Linked DNA regions of Rhinolophus ferrumequinum. The protein of the gene in region 3 interacts with the protein of the main gene of each other region in a pairwise test. Links are inferred from orthologs where the notes say so. Each region holds a gene or a part of one and is shown on either strand. Other genes may lie near its edges.

Evidence for each region. The genes of interacting proteins can lie anywhere in the genome.
Region 1: the proteins of IGF1R (region 3) and KCNIP3 interact in binary tests that used the Homo sapiens proteins (3 or more experiments, as listed by UniProt). The two-hybrid records come from large-scale screens. The link is inferred for Rhinolophus ferrumequinum from reciprocal best matches to the Homo sapiens genes IGF1R and KCNIP3.
Region 2: the proteins of IGF1R (region 3) and YWHAB interact in a two-hybrid assay, tested with the Homo sapiens proteins (2 studies listed by IntAct). The link is inferred for Rhinolophus ferrumequinum from reciprocal best matches to the Homo sapiens genes IGF1R and YWHAB.

Annotation. Positions count from the first base shown.
Region 1 is NW_022680356.1:1,665,171-1,672,335, reverse strand, and holds the start of KCNIP3 (calsenilin), read right to left. Parts: upstream 3,008-7,165; 5' UTR 2,977-3,007; coding exon 2,962-2,976; intron 1-2,961. UniProt on the Homo sapiens protein: Calcium-dependent transcriptional repressor that binds to the DRE element of genes including PDYN and FOS. Affinity for DNA is reduced upon binding to calcium and enhanced by binding to magnesium. Seems to be involved in nociception.
Region 2 is NC_046306.1:12,838,258-12,846,160, forward strand, and holds the start of YWHAB (14-3-3 protein beta/alpha), read right to left. Parts: upstream 3,008-7,903; 5' UTR 2,790-3,007; intron 1-2,789. UniProt on the Homo sapiens protein: Adapter protein implicated in the regulation of a large spectrum of both general and specialized signaling pathways. Binds to a large number of partners, usually by recognition of a phosphoserine or phosphothreonine motif.
Region 3 is NC_046311.1:11,461,778-11,469,327, forward strand, and holds the start of IGF1R (insulin-like growth factor 1 receptor), read right to left. Parts: upstream 3,014-7,550; 5' UTR 2,912-3,013; coding exon 2,818-2,911; intron 1-2,817. UniProt on the Homo sapiens protein: Receptor tyrosine kinase which mediates actions of insulin-like growth factor 1 (IGF1). Binds IGF1 with high affinity and IGF2 and insulin (INS) with a lower affinity. The activated IGF1R is involved in cell growth and survival control.

The sequences.
Region 1 (7,165 bases), on a different chromosome or scaffold from region 3:
GCTCAGCTCAGCTCAGCACCACCCCCCACTCTGGCGTCTGCAGGGCCCCTGGGTTCTGTCCCTGTCATATGGCTGCTCTGTGGTTCTAGGATGTGGGCTGATCACAGCTGACAGATATACCTGTTGATGGGAACATCAGTCAGCTGGGGATGAGGAGCTGGCGGGGGCAGGGACAGCACAGTGACTCACACTACACCCTCCTTCCTGCCCTGGGTCTGGGACCAGCGCAGAATATCTGCCAAGCCCTGTTCTCTCTCCTTCCTCGCCTAGGAAACCAAGGCTGCCCTTGTCCCCAACAGAGACTGCATTCAGGGCTCTGCAGCTGTCCTGGGCCTCACCAGGGGTGCCTTGGGGTGGGGCAGGAACAGTAGATGGTCCCAAGCCAGATGGAGTCGGCAAAGCAGCCCCCACCTCTTGCGGAAGGTTTGATAAGAAAAGGGATCCTGAATTCAAAAATCCTGGGGTCCTTTCCTTTACAGCTCTGGACCCGCAGCCCAGAAAGGGGCTCAAGGTGGCATGGATGACCCAGGGGACATGGCAGGGTGGGGTCTGGCTTGTGTGCACTCACTACAGGTTCAGAGGGTGCGAGGGCCACAAGCACCTGGAGCCAGCCCCCCAGCTGGGAAGGGGCCGCTCCTCAGCTGCCTGGCCCCAGACACTCCTCCCCACTGTAGTCTTATCCCAGGAACCACCCCTCCGGCCCTGGGGAAGTGAGCTTTGCTGTAAGACAGAGCCGGGTCCACATCCCAGCTACAACACTGTGTAGATTGTCATCTAGGGCAGGCCTCAGGCTCCTGGTCTGTGAAGTGGGTACAATGCCAACAGCTATTTTGGGGGTGGTACGTGGGTCCAGGGAGACGATGCAGGTACAAGACCAGCCATGACCTTCTCCCAGACTCCACCTGGAGGACGGTTTTGTCCCACTGCAACCCGGGGCTTTGATTTGGAAATTGGGGAGACAATTAGGACCCACCTCCCGCAAGTTTCCCACAGGAAGGCTGGCAGCCAGGCAGGAAGAGATTCGTGGCACACGTGCTGGGCCATGAGGACGTCTCTCTCTGGAGCCCAGGACGGCAGGCGTGCCCACTCCAGCAGAGCCCGCGGTAACGCTCACTCCACTCATGAAGTTCAAGGCCGGTGCTGTGCTAGGTGGGCCACTCCCTCCTCTGAGCTGTGGTATCTGCAGAGGGCAGTGGCTGTGCATGCCCTCCTGGGCTGCTGTGAGGACCCCCGAATGACTGGGGGTGCATGCAGGAGGCCGAGGACTGGAAACCCAGGGTGCAGCTGCTGACTGTGACAATGACAGGAAGCTGAGGGCAGCTGAGTCCAGCCAAAGCCCAGCCTGTGCCCTCACTTGCAGCCCCTGCTTCATTAGCAAGGAAGGTGATTTTTCACAGCCAGTGCCCTGGCTGACCTTGCTGAGCCACCCAGGGGCTGCTTCCCCAAGGACCACTGTCCCTGCTTGGCCCAGTGCCAGCAGGTATGGGACCCGCTCCAGTCTCTGCCCAGGCCAGCCACAGGAAGTCCAGTGGCAGGTGTAAGGCCCAGAGAGCCTGTTGTGCGGGTCTGCGGACGGCACTGAGGGACCACAGTGGCCAAGGGAAAGCCAGGTGTACCCACAGGACTCTAGCCACTCGCTCTACCCATCTAGCAGGGGCAGGGGTGGCCAATCTCCCAGGGTGAGCTCTGGGCAGTTTGGGCCAGCAGAGAAAATGCAAGAGAAGGGGGCTGTCCCCTGCCTGGGGAAACTTGAGGTGACAGTAGCGAAAGCACCTTTTCAACGTACCCATTGCCACGCTCAAAGAGTTTCATGTCACCACTTCTGGGCACCTCTGGGAGATGGGGCACCTGGGCCCTGGGCAGTGTGGCCTGAAGGCAGCCACAAGCCCACTGTTGGCTGCTTGTCCTCACGGGTGAAAGAAACACAGGAATCCATCTCTTGGGGATAGGGGGGTGTGGGGATGTGCGAAGACCATGAGACGCCAGCTCGGCATCCATTCTTTACTCACAAGACCCTGGTTGTATTTGGATCGTTTTGCCCTTCCTTCTTTCTCCTTCCTGCTGCCTACGTATGCTAGCTGGAGCTCCTGCAGCCATGTTGGACCTTAAGGTAAACTCAAGAATGCAAGCAGGGACACAGATGGAGCCCGGGGCCCTGCTGACCCCGGGGCCTCCGTGCCAGCCTTCTATTGCCTCCCTCTGGACTTCTACACGACAGAGAAAGCAGAAAAGGCAACCAGCCTTGTTCAGACTGCTGTTACTTGGGGTGTTCTGCTGCGAGCAGCAAGACCTAGTGTCCGTGCTTCTTCCTTACAGAGCAAGACTGTCCCAAACATGAGAGGAGCTGCATACCCTCAGGACCCATTTTCTGAGTGTCAGCCGAATTCTGGGGGTCAGCTTATGTTTCATTCCTTCATTCTTCTTCATTTAATTACTCTTCCTCCTTCCAACACCCCACCACTGTTTCTTGAACTGTACCCCAGGCATTTCCCTTGATTCTCTCTCCAACCTCCCAACAACCCCCAGAGTGGGAACTATTAGTGTACTTGTTACGTCTCAGGGCCCTTTAGGAAGTAGGCATTCATTAATTACTTGAATAATTAAGAGGTGTATTCGTGGAGCATAAGACACCCCCTCCCAGCACACAGCCTGCCCCTGGCTCTGAAGCCCTAGGGCCCGGCTCAGGGCAGCTGCCCCCAGAGACCTAACTGAGCAGGACCAGCTGTGTGGTTGACCCAAGCCCCTCCCCTGTCCAGCTTCTATCCTACAAATCCCTAAAGCCTCTCCCATCCAAAGGGGGCCCCAGGAGCCTAGCCTCTCAGCCAGGATACCCCAATACTTACTTTCCTCAAAGCGACCCTATAGGGGACAGCAAGGAATGGGCACAAGGCTCCCTGGTCCAGGGCAACCCCAGAAGCCCCAGCCCCCACCCCTCGAGCCTCCTGCCCTGTTGGCGCCTACCTTGGCCCGAAGCATCCTGGGCGCTGAAGGAAACTGTTGCCAGGCTCCCCTCCTCGCCGCCAAAGAGATCAGGACTGTCGGGCAGAGCTGGCAGCTGCCTCATGTTTGCTTGGACTGGAGGCTCCTCGCCCGCCCCCTGCCCACCCGCCCCCCTGCCTGTCTCTACCTGCTCCACCCCTTCTGCTCTGCCTCCCCTCCCTCCTGCTGTCCTCTCTTCTCCTCTCCTCTCTCTCCCTCTCTGTCTCTGTCTGTCTCTCCCTCCCTCCCTCCCTCTCTTTTTCTCTCTCTCCTTCTTCTCTCCCCCTCTCTCTCTGTCTCTCTCTCTCTCCCTCTCTTTCCCCTTCTCTCTCTCCCTCTCCCAGCCACTGTCCCACTCTCTGTATTATTGGTTCCTAATCCTGCCCTCTCAGCCTGTCAAAGAAGTACTGAAGTCCCACCTGTTTGGCTCTCTGGGCGTCCTCTCTGCCTGTCACGAGTGTCTCTCCCTGTGCCACCTCCGCTCTGTCTCTTTTTCTAACACACACACCCCCTCCCCCCACCCCTTGGTTATGGGGAGGGGAGGGTGCATGGGGGGGGTGTCCAGAAAACCGGGGCTTGGGGGAAGGGAGCTCTGATGTGAGTTTCTGCCCCAATAGGGGTTGGGGACAGGAAGGGGCAGCCTTCCTCTCCCTGCTGCCCCCTGGCCAGTCCTGCGGGCCCTTTTCACGGACACCCTGAGGAGGGGCCTGCAGTCAAGACCCTGGTGCCACCTCAGCTGCTCCTGGCTTCCAAGGCATCCTCCCTGTGGGGACATCATTCTGGTCCTCAATGGCCTCACAAACAGGGGTTCACCCATGCAGAGATGGTGACAGCTACCAGGGCCACAGCACATGGGTCACACATAGGGGCCCTTCCATCTTTGACCTGTCTCCCCCCTTAATTACCTCCTTTTTACCCGACATGGGGTCTCACGATGTGGGGGCCCTCCCAGGTAGCCTGTCATCTGTCCTTGCCTATGTCCCAGTTTGGGACCCCATGGGGGTGGCAGAGGGACCTCGCCATGTCTCTTAGCGGGTGGAGGAAAAGGGTGAGGGCCCCTGAGTTTCCTTGGGAGGGGGGCAGACTCCTGGGAATTCGCTCAGACCCCAGGGAAACCACCCAGGAGCCAGGTGCCCAAAACCTCTGCCAAGTTTCCCTTTTCTGCACCCAGTGACAGCCTGTTCCAGTGGTTCCCATGGAAACAGAGCCTGCGACACCCTCCTCTGCAGCGGGCACCAGGCGCTGGCACGCCCTTCTTTTTTTTTTTAGCCAGCCAGTGAGCTCTAACTCTCAGATCCACAGGGGAGGAGAGTGGCCTGGAGCCATTGACCCACTGAAGCGGGAGGCCACCCCGCTGTCTGGGCCCTGGGAGGAGGTGCGGGAAGCCCCTGCTGCAGCTGTCGTCAGAGGCCATCCACGCGCTGGCCTTTGGCTCTGAGCACGCTCCCACAAGGGACTCACTGAGCACTTGAGTTTTCACAGTGCACTGCCTTGGGAGGAAATTGTCTCTGTGCGGTGATGAAAGTGACACCAAAGCAAGTTAAAGGACGCGCCCAGGGTCATAGGCTAGAAAGTGACAAAGCCGGTTTCTTTCATTCCAAAGCTCGCATGGCTGAGATCTTGCCCCACCTCCCAGGCTCCACACACCAGCTTGGGAACTTACCACCAGGCCATGGGCCTGGCCTCCCGCTGTCCCACCCTCAGACCAGCGCTGTGCTCTGCAGGCGCCCACCCGCCACTTGGCACACCCACTGAACTTCCATGACCCAGAGACGCTTCCTTCCAGTTCAAGAGCCTTGAGCTGTGACAGGCCAGGCCCAGGACAACTGCGTCCCCCCAGGCCCTCGTGCCCTTGGGCCTTGAGAACCTCCCACTGCAGCTGCCAAGGAGTGCCCCTCATAAAACACAAATTTGAGGCACGTGTGCCCTGCTGTGACCCTTGCCCACCCCCAACCCCCTTCCTCCCCAGGGCAGGTGGGAATGGAGCTGGAGGCCACCCCTGAGAGTGCCCAACTGGGCTGTGGGCACGTGGGACGGGCAGGCTTTCCCCCAGAGGGTCTGGGACTTTCCAAAGAGTCCCTGGCAGTATGTCAGACCCAAAGTAGGTAAAGGAAGGAAGGCTGCCGGAGGACTCGCCTGGACACTGCCAGATGGGTTTCAGCTGTGGTCTCCTCACACCGGGGTGGGGATGAGAATGGGGGACGTCAGATGGGAAAAGGAAGGGGTCAATTCAAGCCTGGGGCCGGGCTGAGATGCCCTATGTTACGTTTGAGTATGCCGCCTTTGAGTGGGAGCCATCTCAGCTAGCCCACCCCACCTTGGCGAGGGGCTCACAGCACCCCTGCCCACAGGTCCTGGGGTCTCTTTGGACTTCCTCCATTGCTGCCTATTGCAATCCCCTCCATCCAGGCCCATGGCCAAACCTCCTCCTTGGGAACCCCAAGCCTGGCTCCATGGACCATCCTGTACCTTCCTCCTGGGCCATGGCTTTGCCTATCCCTGGTCAAGGGAAAGAGAGAGAGAGAGAAAGAGATAGAGAGAGAGAGAGGAAAGGAGGGAGGGAAGGAGAGAGGGAGGAAGAGAGGGAAGAAAAAAGAGAAAGATAGAGGGGGAGAAAGAGAGAGAGAGAGAGAGAGAGAGGTGCTCAGTACTCTCAGGGTTTGGGTCCCGGCCCACCAAGAGCCCCTGCCTATGAGGAAAGCCCTTTTGGGTGGAGGGTGGTCTCACCCTGCATGTGGACCTCAAGAAATGTCTGTTGCTGAAGATCACCCCTCCCTTGATGCTGCAGCCCTCGGTGTCACCGTGAGAAAGCACAGCTGCGGAACTGCAAAGCCACCAGATGCAGCCTTATCTGGGTCTTCTACTGGCCCTCAAAATCTCTCCCGCTGCCCACCCTCCCTCCCGTGGCTGGGTGGAAACCTGGCAGACCCGCAATGCTGCCTGGGAGAAAGACCCATGGTTCTGCCACTTCACAGCACAGTCTGGGCCCAGGTCCTGGCCACCTCAGGTGGGGCAGGGGCCTGCAGTCACAGGGGCTACTGTGTAGCTGGCCTTCAGCCCCTGGAACTGTGCACTGGGTTGGCAGAGGTTTAAAGCTGTTCCTCCATCCTGTGGGCACCCCCACGGGTCCTCAGGGCCTGGCCATTGCTGGGCACTCCCCAACCCCCAGCTAGGGTTTCTCACATGGGCTTCAAGGGAGCCAGGAGCCTGACAGCCCAGGCAGCTCCACCCTCTCGTGGAGGTCTGTTGGCCCTCCAGGCAGCCTCCCCGGCTGGGCCTGAGGGCCCCTCTGACTGCCCCTCACCTGAGGCCCTCCTCTGGGCCACAAAGCAGCCAGCCCGTCTCGCCCTGCAGACTTTGTAGATGGGGGGAGCCCTCAGTCCAGTGGCTTTCTCCCACCTCAGGGATGCACGCTGTGAAGCTCTCTGGGGGCTCTTTAAAGCCTCCTTCCCTCTGGCTTGAAATGAAGAGAGGACACCCGTCCCTCTCTTTAGGCTCAGCTCACCTCCTCTAAATCCCCTGCTCTAACCTCAACACATGACTCCTGGGTCCCCTCAGTGTGGTGGGGGTCCCGGCCTCTAAATTCTGCAGCTCGTGGTAGAGGTCAGGGCTGGATGCGGTCGTGTCTCCGCACACACCAGCCTTCTGCTGCCCGGTGCTCAGTCCACGTCTGTACGATGGATGAAAGCTAAGTGCTCCCAGAGGGTCACGTCCAGGCACTGTTAGGAGATTGGGGACCAAGGGGAAGGGGCTTCATTCCAGCAGCAGGGTGTGTGTACTGGGCTGGCCCCGGGCACTTGGGCCTGGAGACAGGGCTCTGGGAGTGGAATATAGGGAGGGCCTCTCCGTGACCACCAGAGCAGGACCTCAGGCTGACCTGGAGAATTCCATGTTGCCTGAAATGCCCCAATTATCCCATGATGCCTCGGGGAAGTGTCTACTCAGCCTGCCATCGTTTCGGTGCCTGAGTTTTCTCAGCTGTAAATAGGTAAATAGCAGTGCCAGCCTCTTAGTGGATTTATGTGAATTGCTTAGCACTTTCTGGTTTATACTCATAGTTCCATAAATGTTAGCTCTGTCCCCTCAGGTAGCCTGAGCAGACTCGCAGCCATGTGGCCCTCCCTTTGCACACCTGAGCCAGCCGGAACTGCCCTGGTCAGTCACCTGAGACCTCAGACCCATGTGG
Region 2 (7,903 bases), on a different chromosome or scaffold from region 3:
AAGAAAAATTAAGGATGAAATGAAATCTTCACACAAAAGATATACACATGTTGTTTTACTACGAGTAGAAATCTATCTTTAGAGCCAGACTGCCTGCTTTTGATTCCTGATTCCAGCACTTACCGTTGCTGTGTGTATATCCCTAAGAAAATTATTTAACTTCTCTGTGCTTTGGTTTATTCATCTGTAAAATGGGGCTAACAGTACATACCTATCATTGCTTGTTATGAAGGGTTATTAATATGTGTAAAGTATTTAGAACACAGCTTGGCACATAGTGAGCAACATAAGTGGTAGCTATTAGTATTATAAACTAATTGCTTGATGCAACCTCCTCAGTTGGCGAATAAATCACAAATGGATAGACTCTATATGTGTTCATACTATATAGCATATATGCATATATCTTATCTATACATGTATATGTACACCCATTTATATGGTCAAATAACCTTTACACAACACCTAGTACACAGCCCATATCCTTATTTGATTACTGAGTTTCCCACAAGAATTCATTAAAGGCCATTACCATTTGCATGAGAAAATGGGCTCAGAAAGACTAGAGATGCTATACACAAAATACGGTTCTATAATAATACTCTGTCATTTTTTAAAAAAGCAACATGCGTACACAGAGGAGTTGGGTCTCATCAGAATGCAACTGGAGGAAAAAACAAAGCCATTAATGGTAAACTCTGTGATTAAAAAACAAAATCAAAAGCTTATATTTAACAATTTCCAGTTTGTAAAAAGGCTTCATACAATATAGATAGAGAAAGAAGAACCAGAGATTAGGCAGCATGCTCAAAATCACACAGCTAGAAAATGCTGCAGGCAAGACCTGAATCAAATTGATCTGACTCCAAGTCTAGTGCTCTTTCTGCTTGTATATCCACAGCCAAATGGGCAAAACGCACTTTTTGCAGTGGCCCAAAAATCTGGAGATTCTGCCTTGGGAACTAGCATCATGGGAATTTGCTCAGCCTGGTTTTCTGGAGGTTGCCTCCCTGATCAAGAGATCCAATTCTAAAATGGCTTCAACATAACACAAGCACTGCATCATGGGAAACACACAGAAGATTATAGGGTAGGAGCCATACCATACTCCAGGGACTGACAGTCCATAAATATTTACTACTGATGAATGAAGACATTCAGTCTGAAAACCAGGTGTGTGTGGTCTAGGCCAAATCACCTCACTTCCCACAAAGACTCCATCTGTAAGATGGGTGAATGGTTTCTTATCTCATGGAAAGTAGGGGCCAGGAAAATAATTCAGCATTTGCTACTGGATTATTAGCCTTCTATTTTGAAGACTACCCATAAAATTCTAATTTGAGTCCAGTGAAACAGACAGATTTTACTCTCACCATCTTGTGTGCTGCTAAGGACATAGAGCCAAGAAAAATGAGGGTTCAGGCAAGTGAGACACAATTCCTAAATAAGAAATGGGGTTCACTGAAAGTGTTCAAGGAGAAAAATCACTACAAACTAAATAACACTTTTACATTTCTAACGGGAAAATGCAAAAAGCTGCGTGACCATGTGTCCTGTTCTATAAACTGCATGTGTGTGGTTTCATATGAACAACTGAAGACAATGAGAAATGCAGACAATTTTTATATTCTCACAAATGCTTCGTCTTTCTGTTCAGGCTCTTGCTGCCACCTAATTTGCTGTGTTCATAACATCATCTTTCCAAATTCCATCTCCCACACATAGCAAGTCAAACCAGAGCCTGATGCTTGCTATCTAGCCTTACCAAAGTGAAAAGCAGTGACAGCAAGGACAAGAGACATGGATTTTTACAGAAAGGTTGGCAAATTGTCTTACCAATACTGCCACCTTTGAAAACCCCATTGCATCGGAGTTCTCCATTTGCAATAGACGAAGATGTACTCATCTTAGGTAGAAAAGGGGTCCAAATCACTCCTACTCTTCCCCACCACCAGAGAGGCCATCAGGGCAAATTTCAGTCCTAAAAACATACTAACACACAGCATGAGGGAATTTGGGGCGAGGACACAAAAGACTCTGGCATTAATGACGGTAGATACCGTGGGAAGATACTCGGTACTCAGCCTTTTACATTTTTTCTCCTGGGGATCCGGCCTGACTCAGTAACCGGTTCCAACAAATGCATTTTCTTGATTCAAACCTCAACCCTAGACTTCCCAGGGAACCTCGGATTCTGCCAGGCTCAAAAACCAGCGAACGATGATGAAATAAATGGCTTTACTGCAAAGTGGGAGGGGGTTTGCTTTCTGCTCTCTCCCAAGGTTAAACCCCTTACCCATCCAGGGAGAGTGAAGCAGGAGCAGTGGGCCTCGAGAACTCGTCGGCCTTTGGTTCAATTTTAATTGCTGGAAGCCAGAAAGTAATAAGCAGGGGTGACAGGGCTGAAAAGGTCGGATCTCCGCGCCCGAGGAGCAGGGAGGGGTCGCGCGGGGATCGAAACTGGGCAGTGAGGGAGGGCCTGAGGTCCGCGGCTGGAAGCCCATTCCCGCCCGGTACGGAGCCGCACCCCGCCCGCCGGGCAGGGCCGCAGGCGGCGAGGGCGGCCCGGGCCTCTCCGAGAGCGAAGGGCCCGGCCCCGGAAATAGGGAGGGGCCGCGGCGAGACCAGGCCCGCGCCGCAGGCGGCCGCGCGGGGCCTAGAAGGCCGTGCGCGCGACCCTAGAAGCCCACCCGCGGGGTCGCCCTGGTGGTCGTCGCCGCCGCCGGGGAGGGGGGGAGCTTTGGCCTTGAGCCCCCGGGGGCCACGGGCGGACCCCGCGCCGCACTCACCGTGGGAGGGCTGCAGGGGGCAAAGACGCTTGCGAGAGGAGCTCCGAGCGCGGTGACCGCTTTCTTCCCAGGCCCACTCCTCAAGCGGCAGCGGTAGCGGCGGCAGCGGCGGCGGCAGCTGCAGTGGCGGCGGCAGCAGGCACCCCGGCTCCGGAATCGGCGGCGGCGGTGGCGGCAGCTCCACTTCCGCTCCGGTCACCACTTCCGCTCCGTCCCGAGCTCCGCCCCGCCCCTGCGCCTTCTCCTCATTGGGCGAGCGGGGCACGGGGTTGCCCCGGCCGCGTGAGAGGGGCGCTGACAGAGGGTGGAGGAAGCGGAGCAGGGGACCTGGATGCGGCTGCCGCCGGAGGGCGGAGGGCCGGGGCCCCGAGCAAGGAGGAGGCGGGCGGTGGGGGACGGAAATGGGGGCGGGGGAGCGGAAAGAGGAGGTAGGAGGAGAGGGGGCGGGTGGGGGGAGGGTCAAGAACTGGGATGTGCTGGAACGAGGAAGACTGGGCGAGGTTTGGGGTGGGGCGGGCCTGAGGCCCACTCTGTTTAGGCTAAACCTCGAGAGGGCCAGGCCCAAAGATTCCGAGGTCATCGGTTCCCACCCCACCCTAGAAGTAATCGCCATGGGGTTAGAGGTTGAGGTCAGTCCCCTTTTGCGCTGTCCTTTGGAAATACTGGATCTAGGGATGGACAGAAATTGCTCATTCCTAAATTTTTGCTTAATCCTGTCTTCAGTCCTTCAAGGTACTAATCATTTCCTCTTTTTTGGACTGAAGAGGCCATGAGGATCGAAGGTCTTTTTCCCTTTTTTTAAGCCTGTGTTGATAATCTCGTAATTGAACACCCCCCTTTCGAGCTCCTAGAGGAAATTTAAGGAAAGGAAACAGGCCCCCACAGCCCCCACTCGCATGACTGCACTCACCGTTATCAACATTGATCTGTTTCTTCCAAGGCAGTTGACTCTTAAACACAGTTCTTCAAAATGCCTCTCACCTGCTCGCCCTCCCTTTCATTCATTCTTTCAATAAATATTTATTGAGCAGGCTGTGTGCTGATTGTTGGAGACACAGCAAGAACACCACAGGCGGGGCCCTGCTGTCTTGGAATTTACAATCTGGTAGGAGAAAAAACAAAGTGAAGACGCCTTTGTCACCTCTTCTTTACCCTGACTCACCTTAATGATAGACTTCTAGCTCATCACCTTACTCTGAGCCCTGCCTCCATCAACTGCCAAAGTGATCTTTTTAAAATGCCATTCTAATCCTGTTCCTTTCTTGCTTAAATCCTTTGGTGATTAGTCAGACAGACCTAGAAGACAATTGGTAGGCCCCTTGAGTGCGACAATCAAGGTTCTCCAGAGATTGCCCTTACCCTGTACCCTTTTCCTGCTCTTTCTCCCCCATCATAAAACCCCAATTCAATTGGATGATTCCTTCTCCTCCCAAGATAACGTCCAGTATTTCTAAATCATTTGTGTGTTAGTTGCCAAGTTTTTAAAGACAGAGATTTTTGTGTGAACAAAAATGTGCATCTCTGCCTTGTCTAGCAACATTTGTGTGTGGGAACAGTTTGCTGAAGGCAAGGAGTGTGGCTGCCTACTCTAGGTCAGACATGGACTTTTCAAAGTGCCAGGGTCCCCTCCTGACCAAGTCTGCTTTCCTCATTCTTCTTGTCTGTCATATAGGTGTTTGTGCCTGTCACTCCTGTGCTATACCACCTTTTAACTTGAGCAAGCTTGAACATTGTGTAATGTAAACAGCACGAATGTGACATCAAAACCACAGGATGGTTTGAACCCCAGAAAAGTTTCCCAGTGCAAAAACTTCCCCATGGGGATCTATCTTTGGCAAACCAAAGGTCAGTAATCCAGAGACTGCTCGGGTTGAAATAAGCCTTCATGAAACATGACTGTGCCTTATGCCCCCATCCAGAAAATAGCCTAGTGGGTCACAGGGCTCATGATGGTTACACCACAGATGACATCAGCAGTGTACTGAGGGAACAGAAGTGCCCTTTGCCAGGCGTCCCTGGGTGCCTGCTAACGGGTTGCATGGATAAGCTGCTTTCACCATTTCTGCATTCTAGGCCATTGGTCAACAAACCACAGCTATTAACCGACAGAGACACAAAGAGATACTAACATACAAATGTGGCAGATGCAGCCATAGGAATATATATGCCCAGGGTATTATGGGAGCCGGAGAAGGGCACCTAACTCATCCTGGGAATGTGGTGGGGGAGCAGGCAGGACTTCCTGAAAGAGGTGATAGTTGAGCTTTGGATTCCATAATGAATTTTTTGTTAATTTAGTAGACTATTTTTTTAGAGCAGTTTTAGGGTTACAGAAGAATTAATCCGATGGCACAGAGTTCCCATAGACTCAACCTGTCCCCACCCACAGACTCCCCTGCCATTAACACCTTACATTAGTGTACATGAGTTACAATGGATGAACCAATATTAATACATTATTATTAAAGTCCATAGTTTACAGTAGGGTTCATTCTAGTCTATGGATTTTGACAAATGCACCATGTCAGGCACCTACCATTACAGTATCATATAGAACAGAGTCACTGTGCGAAAAATCTTGTGTGCTTCAACTATTCAGACCTCACCCTCTCACCCGAACCCTTGGCAGTGACTTTTCATTTACACTGTCTTTGTTTTGCCTTTTCCAGATGTTGTATGGTTGGAATCATACAGTATGTAGCCTTGACTGAGTTAAAGCAATATGATTTACGATTCCTCCATATCTGTATTGTTTAAGAGCTCGTTTTTTTTTGTCACCGAATATTATGGCATTGTATGAATGTCCCACAGTTTGTCCTTCTTTCTCCCCTTCCTCCCTCCCTCCTTCCTCCTCTCCCTTCCCTTCCCTTCCTCCTTCTTTCTTTCTCTCTCTCTCTCTCTTTCTTTCTTTCTTCTTCCCTTCTTTCTTCCTCTCTTTTGCTTTTTATTATGACCATTTTCAAACAAACTCAAAATTAGAGAGAATAGTACAATGAACTCCATGTACCCATCACCCAGCTTTATTTTACTATTTATCTTTTGCCTTTTTTTTAGGAGTATTTCACAGCAAATCCCAGACATTATATCATTGAATTTGTAAATACCATTCAATGTAAATACCATTATATCATTGAATTGTAAATACCTTAGTTCCATATGTAGCTCTAACAGGTAAGAATTTTTTTAAAAAAAATAACCACAGTTCCATGATCACACTTAAGGAAATTAACAATTCCTTATTCTCTTATAATACATGGTCCAGGTTTGATTTTCCCTAATTGTCTTAAAAATTACTTTTTACATTGGTTTATTTAAATCAGGATCCTAATAAGCTCTACACATTGCATTTAGTTGCTAAATCTCTTAAGTGTCTTTTAATCCATCACAGTTAACGCTTCCTCCTTTTTTCTTTATATGATTGATTTGTTGAAGAAACTGGGTAAATTATCTTATCACAGTCTGAATTTGGCTATTTGGTTTCTTGCAGAGTTTTAAAAATGTGACCCTATCCCTTGAATGTCCTATAAACTGGCAGTTATATCTAAAGACTTGATTGGATTTTGGCTCAATTTTCGGCAAGAAAATTTTACAGGTGGGACTATGTTTCCTATTGCTTCATACCAGGAGGCATATAATATCTAATTGTCACTAACAGGCTCTTTTAATCTGAAAACCTATTTCTTTCAGTTCTGGGATATTTTTGTGGCTTATTTCCATGAAGATTTCCTTCCTCCACCTCTCTATTTTCTTTGTCTTCGCTTTCTGGAACCCCAATTATTCAGATATCTGAGCTCTTGGAATGATTTTCGAATTATACTGTTTTTTCCTTCCTCTCTCTTATTATTTTATCTTTTTGTGTTTGGGTTTACTTTCTGAACGTTATCATCCAACTTGTATTTAGTCAGAGTTCTGTGCAGGAGACAGAAGCAGAAACCACTCTAGGTATTTTAAGCAGAACAGGATTTAATAAAGGGAATTAGGTGCTTGCAGACTCATTAGAAGAGCTAGAATTGCCTAAATCAGGTGGGACTTTGTTTCAAAGTCACCATAGCTGTGATTGAGAGGTCAGAGTTACTACTGCTACTCCTGTTGCAGCATCATAACTTCCTGATCACACAAAGCTGGGGACTGGGCACTGGACCGGGGAATCTGGCCACTGACCTTTGGCTCAGTAAAGTAAAGTTCAAAGACAAGAGGGCTGCTGTTTGGATTGAATAAGAAGTTGAAATTGAAGGGTAGCCTATGACATGTCAACTTGCGTGAGGTTTTTGATATCCATCCCACCAATTTTGGCTTTTCGTTTTAATGGGACAAAGGCTGAAATCCTGACTCAGAAAGGTCTATCGGTGTATCAGAAAAAGAGCTCCCATAGTTCTCACTAACTTTGCCAGACAAGGGTAAGCTGTGTCAAGGAGACCAGCATTCTCCAAACTCACTGAATTGAATTTTGGCTACATAATCACCTTTGTTTTCATATAAATGAGGTCATTTGAAAGGTAGATATCATTAATGTAAAAACAAAAGATGAATCTGTATTTCTGTTTCATGATAGCTGAACCAGAAATAAGTTTCACAGTGTGTCTAGGCTTTGCAGATTTCTGCCTGTAGAGAAAGTGGCAAAGCGTTGTCATGCTCCAGTACTTCCTCTAGCTTTGGAAAGTGCACACAGCTATTCACCTCCAGTCTCTTTCTTCAGAGTGCCAGCTGGGCAAAAAGAACCATGAATTTATTGGGTGTTTGTGTGTGTGTATTTTAAGAATGATATTTTTTAGCATTTAAGTAAGAAAACGCCTGCTGTATTCATTTTAAATAATGCATTTTCATTACATGGTGATGCATGAATATATTTTAATTGTAAGAAAACTAAACTATTAAAGATAAAAACTAAAGTCCCCTGTGATCACCACCGCACCAAGTCCGTTTCTCCTCCCGAGAAAGTAACCAAGTATCAATTACATAGGAGGGAGCATTAGATTATGCTGTGATAACAAACATTCTTAAAATCTCAGCGACTTACAACAACAAAGGTTTATTTCTTACATGTTTGTCATGGGTTGGCTTCAGCTGTATCTCTGGACACAGGTGGAAAAAGCAAGGAGAGTATGCTAATCTCA
Region 3 (7,550 bases):
TTCACAATAATTTGCTGCTTAGGTTGTTTCCAAACTTCTTATTCTGGGTTCTTTTTTCGGGGAATAAAAAACATCAACTCCTTTCAAGACCGATCTTCCACACATCCATTTTTCTGACAATAAGGACAAACACGTGCCTGGGGCAGAAAGATGACTGGATCCTTTTAATGAGATGGCCACAACATGTGTGAAGTGCCCATTGATTAAAAAAAAGCCAACAGATTATTTGGCTATAACTTCCAAACTCCCTTATTTAGACGCTCTGTTCATGTTGTACTGATACGAAACAGCCATGTCTGTATGACTTCATCTGCTTCGAAACTTCTAACTTTTCTAAGTTAAAGAGTTTTAAAAATCACCCTACTGCGGTCACACTCGGAGAGGAAACACGAATCCCTAAATATGGGGAACAACCACCACCCCAATCCTGGTTACTGGACTAGCCAGCCAAAAGAATGTCAGGCTCTGATAAGATGTGGCCGTTACTTCTCTCAGAGGTAAGTGTTTAGCACCTTTGGGATAAAAACTCAACGCAGGTTCACGCTAAGCCTATCGTTTCATCCTCAAAACTTCAGAGCTGTAGGGAGGGGCAGGTCCTGAGTGAGAACTCCAACAGACCATAATCAGGATTGGGGGTGCCTTCTGGCCTCCCATCAGGTTTCTGGGAACCAACAATTTCCAAGGCATCTTTGAGTAAAGCGTGGGCTACATGGGATTAGAAACGTACGTTAAAATACCCCTAACCCTCCTGTTTTCTCAAGAATGAAACGCCTTTCACAAAGGATATTTTTCAAGAAGAACGCTCCAAACAAGACATCCTATTTTAAAATGCCGGCCTCCTCTATCGGAGGCCATCACTGTTGCTGAGAATTTCATAACATACTAACATTAAAGAATAAAACGAGAGACAGTACAGTTCAATAGCAACGCCACTCTAAAAATGGATTAACACCGCTGCGTCTTCCAAACTATATTTAGCTTTCAAAGGCTACAAACCCTCTTCTGTCCCCCCAAACTCTGTCTGTGAGGCTTAGAAGGGAGCCCGAAAGCCTTTCGCCCAATCCGTGGAGCTGAAAGTTTAGAAAACAAAGAGCAGAAGAGCTCAGATTTGGGGACGGTCCGGCCTCAGTCTGCGTCTGACTCCACGCAGTAAACACGCTAATCCTATAAAAAATCTGCTCGGACTCCATCGTGGACTCAGCTCTTACCAAGCGGTTAAGAAGGGTTTGTTCACACGGCCTTTCCGAACGGCCCCCGCTGCCTCCGGATTCTCCCCCTCATTCTTCACGGCTCAGTCGTGATTTTCCCAATTGGCACTACCTGCATAGCCTCGCAACCATTACTCACCAGCACGCCCTCACCGGCCCCAGCCCGCAGTCCAGGGACTGCATTTAAACTTTAATCGTGATCAAGTTACCCTGCCGTCGCGCATGCACCAGTAAGCCACACTTTAATTTTTTGAGAAGCAGAGAACCCCCTCCTGCCCTCCCCCCACACCCCAGGGGGCCCCCACTTCTCCCTCCCTCCTCCCTCGCGGTGCTTCCCTACCCCTACCCGACACGACCAAAACAAAAGCTATCAGATTGCCAGCGATAGCGAGTGTGCAGCGACACTGCTTATTAACTATGTACAAAGGAAGTGCGGGGCCGGGGGAGGGGGCAGCGCGAGACAACTGCGGCCACGAAGCCCAGGCCAGCGCTGCGCGCTCGCAAAACAACACGCGCCCCTCCCCACGCGCCGCCGCCATCCGTCCACCGCGGCGCAGGGCACCTCTGGCCAGGGCGCGGCGTCTAGGTGTCCCCACGCGGCCGTGTGGCGGCGGCGACACCCCCGCGTGGCAAGCACGTGTGTGTACATGCACGTCGGCTGCGACCACAAACCCACTCCCGCACACTCGGATGCTGCCCGACCACCCCCTCCCCAGTCCCGCCAGGGGGAGGAGAGCGTCCACGGGCCGGGCAGACCCTGGGAGGAGGTCCCGGAACCCTCGGAACTGGGGTCCAGACGCGCTCCCCCAGAAGAGTGGCCGGTGTCGGGCCCCCGACTTCGCACTTTTCCAGGAGCTGCATGGAGGAATGGGGGTGCAGGCGGGCTCGCTCCCGCACCCCAGAGCCGCACTGGGCAGCCCCGGGAAGCGTGGGACAAGGAACCTGCGGCGGATCGGGTGAAAATGACGCGAACGGCCAGGAACCCAACGAGCCGGAGGGGCAAAGCGCGTTGGGTGACAGGAGGCCGCACCGGGATGTTTGGAAACGTGTCCTGGGGCTGCGGGGCCGCTCCGCCCGGCACCTCCTCATCGAGGGCAACTTGTACCCCACAGGCGGCTGGGCTCCCCGCCAACAGACGCAGCGTCTGCCCCACAGCGAGGGCTCCGCGCGGCCGCACGAGCTGTCCCCGCGGTCTGCGCGCGGTGCGGGCGCCAGCGCGGGGTGCGGACCAGCCCCGCGCGCCCCGACAGGGACGAGGTGCGGGCGGCGTGGCCCCACGGGGCGCGAACTTCCCGGAAAGAGTCCCAGCGCCTGGCTAGGAAGGGAGCGCCACGGAGACACGCGGCCCGCGCGCGGGGCACGGCTCTCGGGACAGCGAGCACGCCAGCCCGCGAGGCCCTTCCCTCGGGGGCACCGCGCGGAGCCGGGGCCCGCGGGCCTGCCACCCCCGAGCCCGCGGCCGAGCCCCTGCGCGGCCCGCCCCGCCCCGCCGCTCCTGCGCCCGCGGGCCCGACAGCTGCGACGGGGGCCACTCGGGTTTCGCAAACAGGGCGCAGCCCCTCGGAGGAAAAGTTCCCGCAGTGGCCGCGGGCGGCGGGCACATACTCACTCTCTCCACTCGTCGGCCAGAGCGAGAGCGCGGCGGAGACACACAGGAGCCCCCACAGCGAGGTCAGGGACCCTCCTCCGGAGCCAGACTTCATTCCTTTGATTTGGGACGAAATTCCCCTTTCTCAAAAATAAAAGGGGCGGGCGGGCGGGCGGCGTGGGGGGGGGAGGAAAAGCCAAAGTCTCCAAGTCAGTCTTCGCTCCCCCTCCGAACACAAGGGCGAAGCAAACAGTCCTCCCGAGGCGGCGCGGACGGGGCGGGCGGCGCGGGCGGCCCCTCAGCGTCGGCAGCCGCGGCCCAGGGCTCGGCCGAGTCGGGAACCCGGGGCGCGCCGGGGCGGGCTGTCGGCGTCGTCGGCCTCCATTTTCAAACCCAGCGAAGCAGGCGGGGGGGGGTGGGGGGGGGCTGCAACGGGAGGGGGGCAAAGCCCAAATCCGTCCGGGCCGCGCGGCGCACACCCGATCGCGGCCCCCGGGGGAGGCGGTGCGGGCCCCGAGCCGCGGCGGCGGGAGGGCGCGACGCAGTTCGCAAGCCGGCCGCGAAGTCCCGGGTGCGGGCGAGGCCGGCCGGGCCGAGATGCGGAGTCAAAATGAATGAGAGGCTCCCCCTCCTGCAGGTCCTCCGAGCTCCTGGCGCCGCCGCCGCGAGCTCCTGCCCAAATCCAGGACGCACACAAAGCGGCGGGCCGGCCGCGCCGCGCTCTGCACTCCCGCCGCCCGCCCCGCGCCGGCCCCCGCCCGCCGCGCCGCCGGCTCCGCGCGCGGGGGCTCCGGCTCGCTGAAGGTCAAAGCCGAGGCGCGCGGCGCGCCGTGGAGCTGCCCCCCGCGCGGGCGGGAGGGGCGCGAAGGGCCCGGGGAGCGGGGCCGAGGGTCTGCACGCGCCGGGCACCGCGCGCCGCAGGCAGGCTCGCTGGCGGCGTCCCTCTCGCTCGCCCGCCTCTGTCGAGTTCGCCCGGTGCGCTCGCTCCTCCTCGGGTTTTTTTTCCCCTTTTTTTTTTTTTTTTTTTTCCGCTCAGCGGAGTTAATGCTGGTAAACAAGAGCCTCAGCCTCGCCGCGCCGCTGCCGCCGCCGCCGCCGCCGCCGCCACACACTGGGGGCTAGCGCGCGCGCGCTCGGGCCCGCGCACACGGACGCGCGCGCGCGCACCTCCCGGAGCCGCCGCCGCCGCCGCCGCCGCCGCAGCCGCGGCGCGCCCAGGGCCCGGCCCAGGCCGGCGCGCGCCAAGAGCTGGAGCCCGGGATCCCAGGGACGTGCGGAGCGGAGCCGGGGCGTGGGGTACGAGGCGGCAAGGCACCGCCCCGCCGCCCCCGTCCCCCCGCCCGCGCGCGCCCGGAGACGCGCGCGCGCGCCCACACGCTCTCGCCCCCACCCGCACTGCGCCGGCCACCCTGCACGCGCCCTCCCCTCCCGCAGGACTCCAAAAACAATGCCCCCGGCGCCGGTCCGGGCGGGTGGTGGGGCCAGCCGAGGAGGGGTGGAGAGGCGGGGAGGGAGCGGGATGGGCGGGGAGTGCGGGGCCCGAGAGGTTCATTGAAAACAACAACAGCGCGGCTGGAAAGCGCGTTTCCCCGGTTCTTGAAAAGCTTCATTGTTTCTTGCAGCTGTTGCAAAATAAATAAATAAGTGCGTGCATGCGGCATTTTTTCGCAGCGCTCTGGAAAGCCCGAACGTGGCGGGAGGGGCACACCTGAGAGAAAGGCGATCCCTCCCAGGCTCCCAAGGTGGGCACTTTCACGCATGGCTAGGGCGGCCGCGGTGTCGCGACTGGGGAGCCCGGAGTTGCGAGGCTCACGGGGAGCTGAGGGGGAAGGGCGCGGCCCGCGGGGCTCGGCTAGGGGGTGCAAGGGGAGACGGCCAGCCGCCCGCCGCGAGCCCGGAGCCGGGAAAGGGGGGCCCAGACAGGCTGCCCCGCGTGCCCAGGGCGCGTCCCCGCGGCGGCCGCCAGGGGGCGTAGCAGGCGCGGGGGAGGGCTGGCCCGCGGAGTGTCGCCTCCCTCCGAACCGGAGAGGAAATGTGGGGGCCCGGACTGGGGGCCCGCTAGACTGGGTCGCACTGGCCGGGCCTCGAAGACCCGCGGCCCGCCCCAAAAGCTCCTCGCGCTGCTCCGGGCTCCACCACGTGGGCGGCTGCTGGGAGCGGCCAAAGCGCGTGCACCGTGCGGGCCGCGGGGGCCCCCGAGGCTAGGGGGCGTGTCCGAGGGGCCCCTGAAGGAAGGGGTCCGCGGCCGTGGCGGGCACAGTCTCCTGGCTGGGGTCGAGACCCTGGAACACGCCGCACATACGCGCGATCAGTGTGGTCACTGCGGAAACCCACCCGCACCTGCCTCGGGTCCTCCCGGGCCCCTCCCTCTTGCTTCCTTCGCTATGTAAGTGACTAGAAATCAGCACCAGCCCCAAGTCTCCTCTGTGGTTTTCTTGAATGTGCCCAAGGAGAGGTTTCCCCAAAACAAGACTGCCCGAGAACTGCCATCTAACGAATAAACGCTGCGGAGACCAGGTCCTTAAAGGGGGAAACAGCCCAGCAATGGCTGGAGAAAGGAGTTTGAAATACGTGGACTTTAAAAAATAGTGAGTGGGCCACGTGTTGCCCTTAATGTGGTCGGGTTTCAAGACTCAGGCTAATTGATGTTAACAACAAATAAAAAGAAGATGGCTAATAAAAGAGTCGTGAATGTCTAGATCGAGTAGAAGTGTTTGTCTCATGAACAACCAGGCTGTCTGGTAGGAAGGGATCTGTTCTAAAGAAAAGGTAGGTTTCTTTTCTTTTCTTTTTTTGTTTTTTACTCTTTACGTGTAAAAGATTTCCGAGTTACATTGTTTGTATCCCATCGTTTGTAAATCATTTTTAAAATTAAGACCTGAAAACAAGTCAAAAGCTATCATAATGGAAACCTAGCCTTCCCAGACCCCCATACTTAGTCCCTAGATCATTGATCTCCTTGGAAATTTTTAGCTCAATTCAGTATGTCAGTTGTATAGAAGGGAAATAAATCTTTTTTTACTTACAAGAGTTTTTCATATGGGATTGTTTTGCTTAACTGAATGAAATTCAGCTTAACTTTTAAATAAAAGATTCCAGTTTTAGATGTTATGGACATTAACAGAGGAAGAAATGTATTAGAATCTTTACAAAGAAACAAGTTTAGCACGTATCATTTAAAAATCAGGCACTACATGTGAATAATTAAAATTCAGTCTACTAATTTTTAAATATTCCTTCAGAGAGTTCCCTGCATGAGGTTGGTCTTGATGCCTACAGATTCATTCTGCAGTTAAATGTAAAGGAAAATCAATTTTATATTTTCATTGTATTTGGTGTTTAGAATTCTGAAATACATGCTTGTAAATTTAGACAAGTTGAGAGCTGACTTTTAAAAGACTAATGCTAATAAAAACTCTTTAAATACTATACAATATATTTTTAGTATTAGTAATAATTCCCATTCATTTGTCCCTAAAGACATAAGGTACACAGAATAAAGGACAAATGCTCAGTTGTTTAAATTGTAGTGATTTGGGTATTTTTTTTTACCAAAATGATTTTTCATTTGTCAATTTTTAAAATGTGTGTGTTTTCCTAAAGTAGTGGGAAATAAATAAGATTAAGCTATTTTAGATGGAAAAGTTAGATGATTATTATTATATACCTTCATTTTTAGAAAAAAGAGAATCAAAATATAAGTTGCCTTTCAGCTTTAACTTGATCACATAGACACAAAAGGCAATTTTTATCTTCTTCAATGATTACATTCTACATACTGAAGTCAAACTTATTTTTTCCACCTTGGAAATAAAATCACGTGGTAAAACATTCACTGGAGTCTTAGCTTCATAATCACACTGACAGTGCATCCCACTTGTTTGTTGTTATGCCATTTTCCCCAGGTGGCATAAATTTCCCTTCTTTTGGAGCAGAAACTGGTGGCTTATTTTCGTTTTCTTAAAAACTGTGCACTTGAAAACAGCTATATCTCAAATGATGCTGCTAAATGTTTCAGACAGCCCCAAATGTAATATATACCAAGTGAAAATATGAGAAACAGCCCAACTGACAATTGACAAGTATTAGCAGTAATACAATATGTTGTGATTCCCAGAAAGGAATATTATTCAACAGCAAAAGTGAGTAAACTACAGCCACATACAACACGGGCGGGTCTTGGAAATACAATGTTAAGTTAAAAAAAAAAAAATGCAAGTTCTGAAAAAAACTACACAATTGACACCATTTTGATAAAGCTCTTAAAAGCAGGGACAACAAAAAAATACATAGCAAGTTTTTTAAAGCAAGAGAATGAACTACATGGTGAAATATTTCTGTTTTGTTTTCTTTTACCAAGAGGATTAATAACACAAAATTCAGGATCCTGTTTCCCTCTGGGAGTGGGTGGGGAGAAGCCCATAGATACAGGCAGTGTTCTTAGAGACATGTTCATTTCAGACCGGGTGGTAGATTTATAGGTTTCCATTCTATGGTTATGCTTTATAACTAACACATGTGTTATGTGTGTATAAAATATTTTAAAAGATAGAGAGAAATATAGGGGAAATCCATGAAAGAGATCATCCCAGTTTCCAATATGATTCCAGATTCCAAGCTGTTTGTATAAGCAATTCAGACGCATTAAAGTACTACTAAAATGATATCGCTAATCAAGGTCTCATCCTTAAAAGATACATTTCAGAAGAATGTGTACACATATCCTATCTATACAATTCAAGACAAAAACAGAT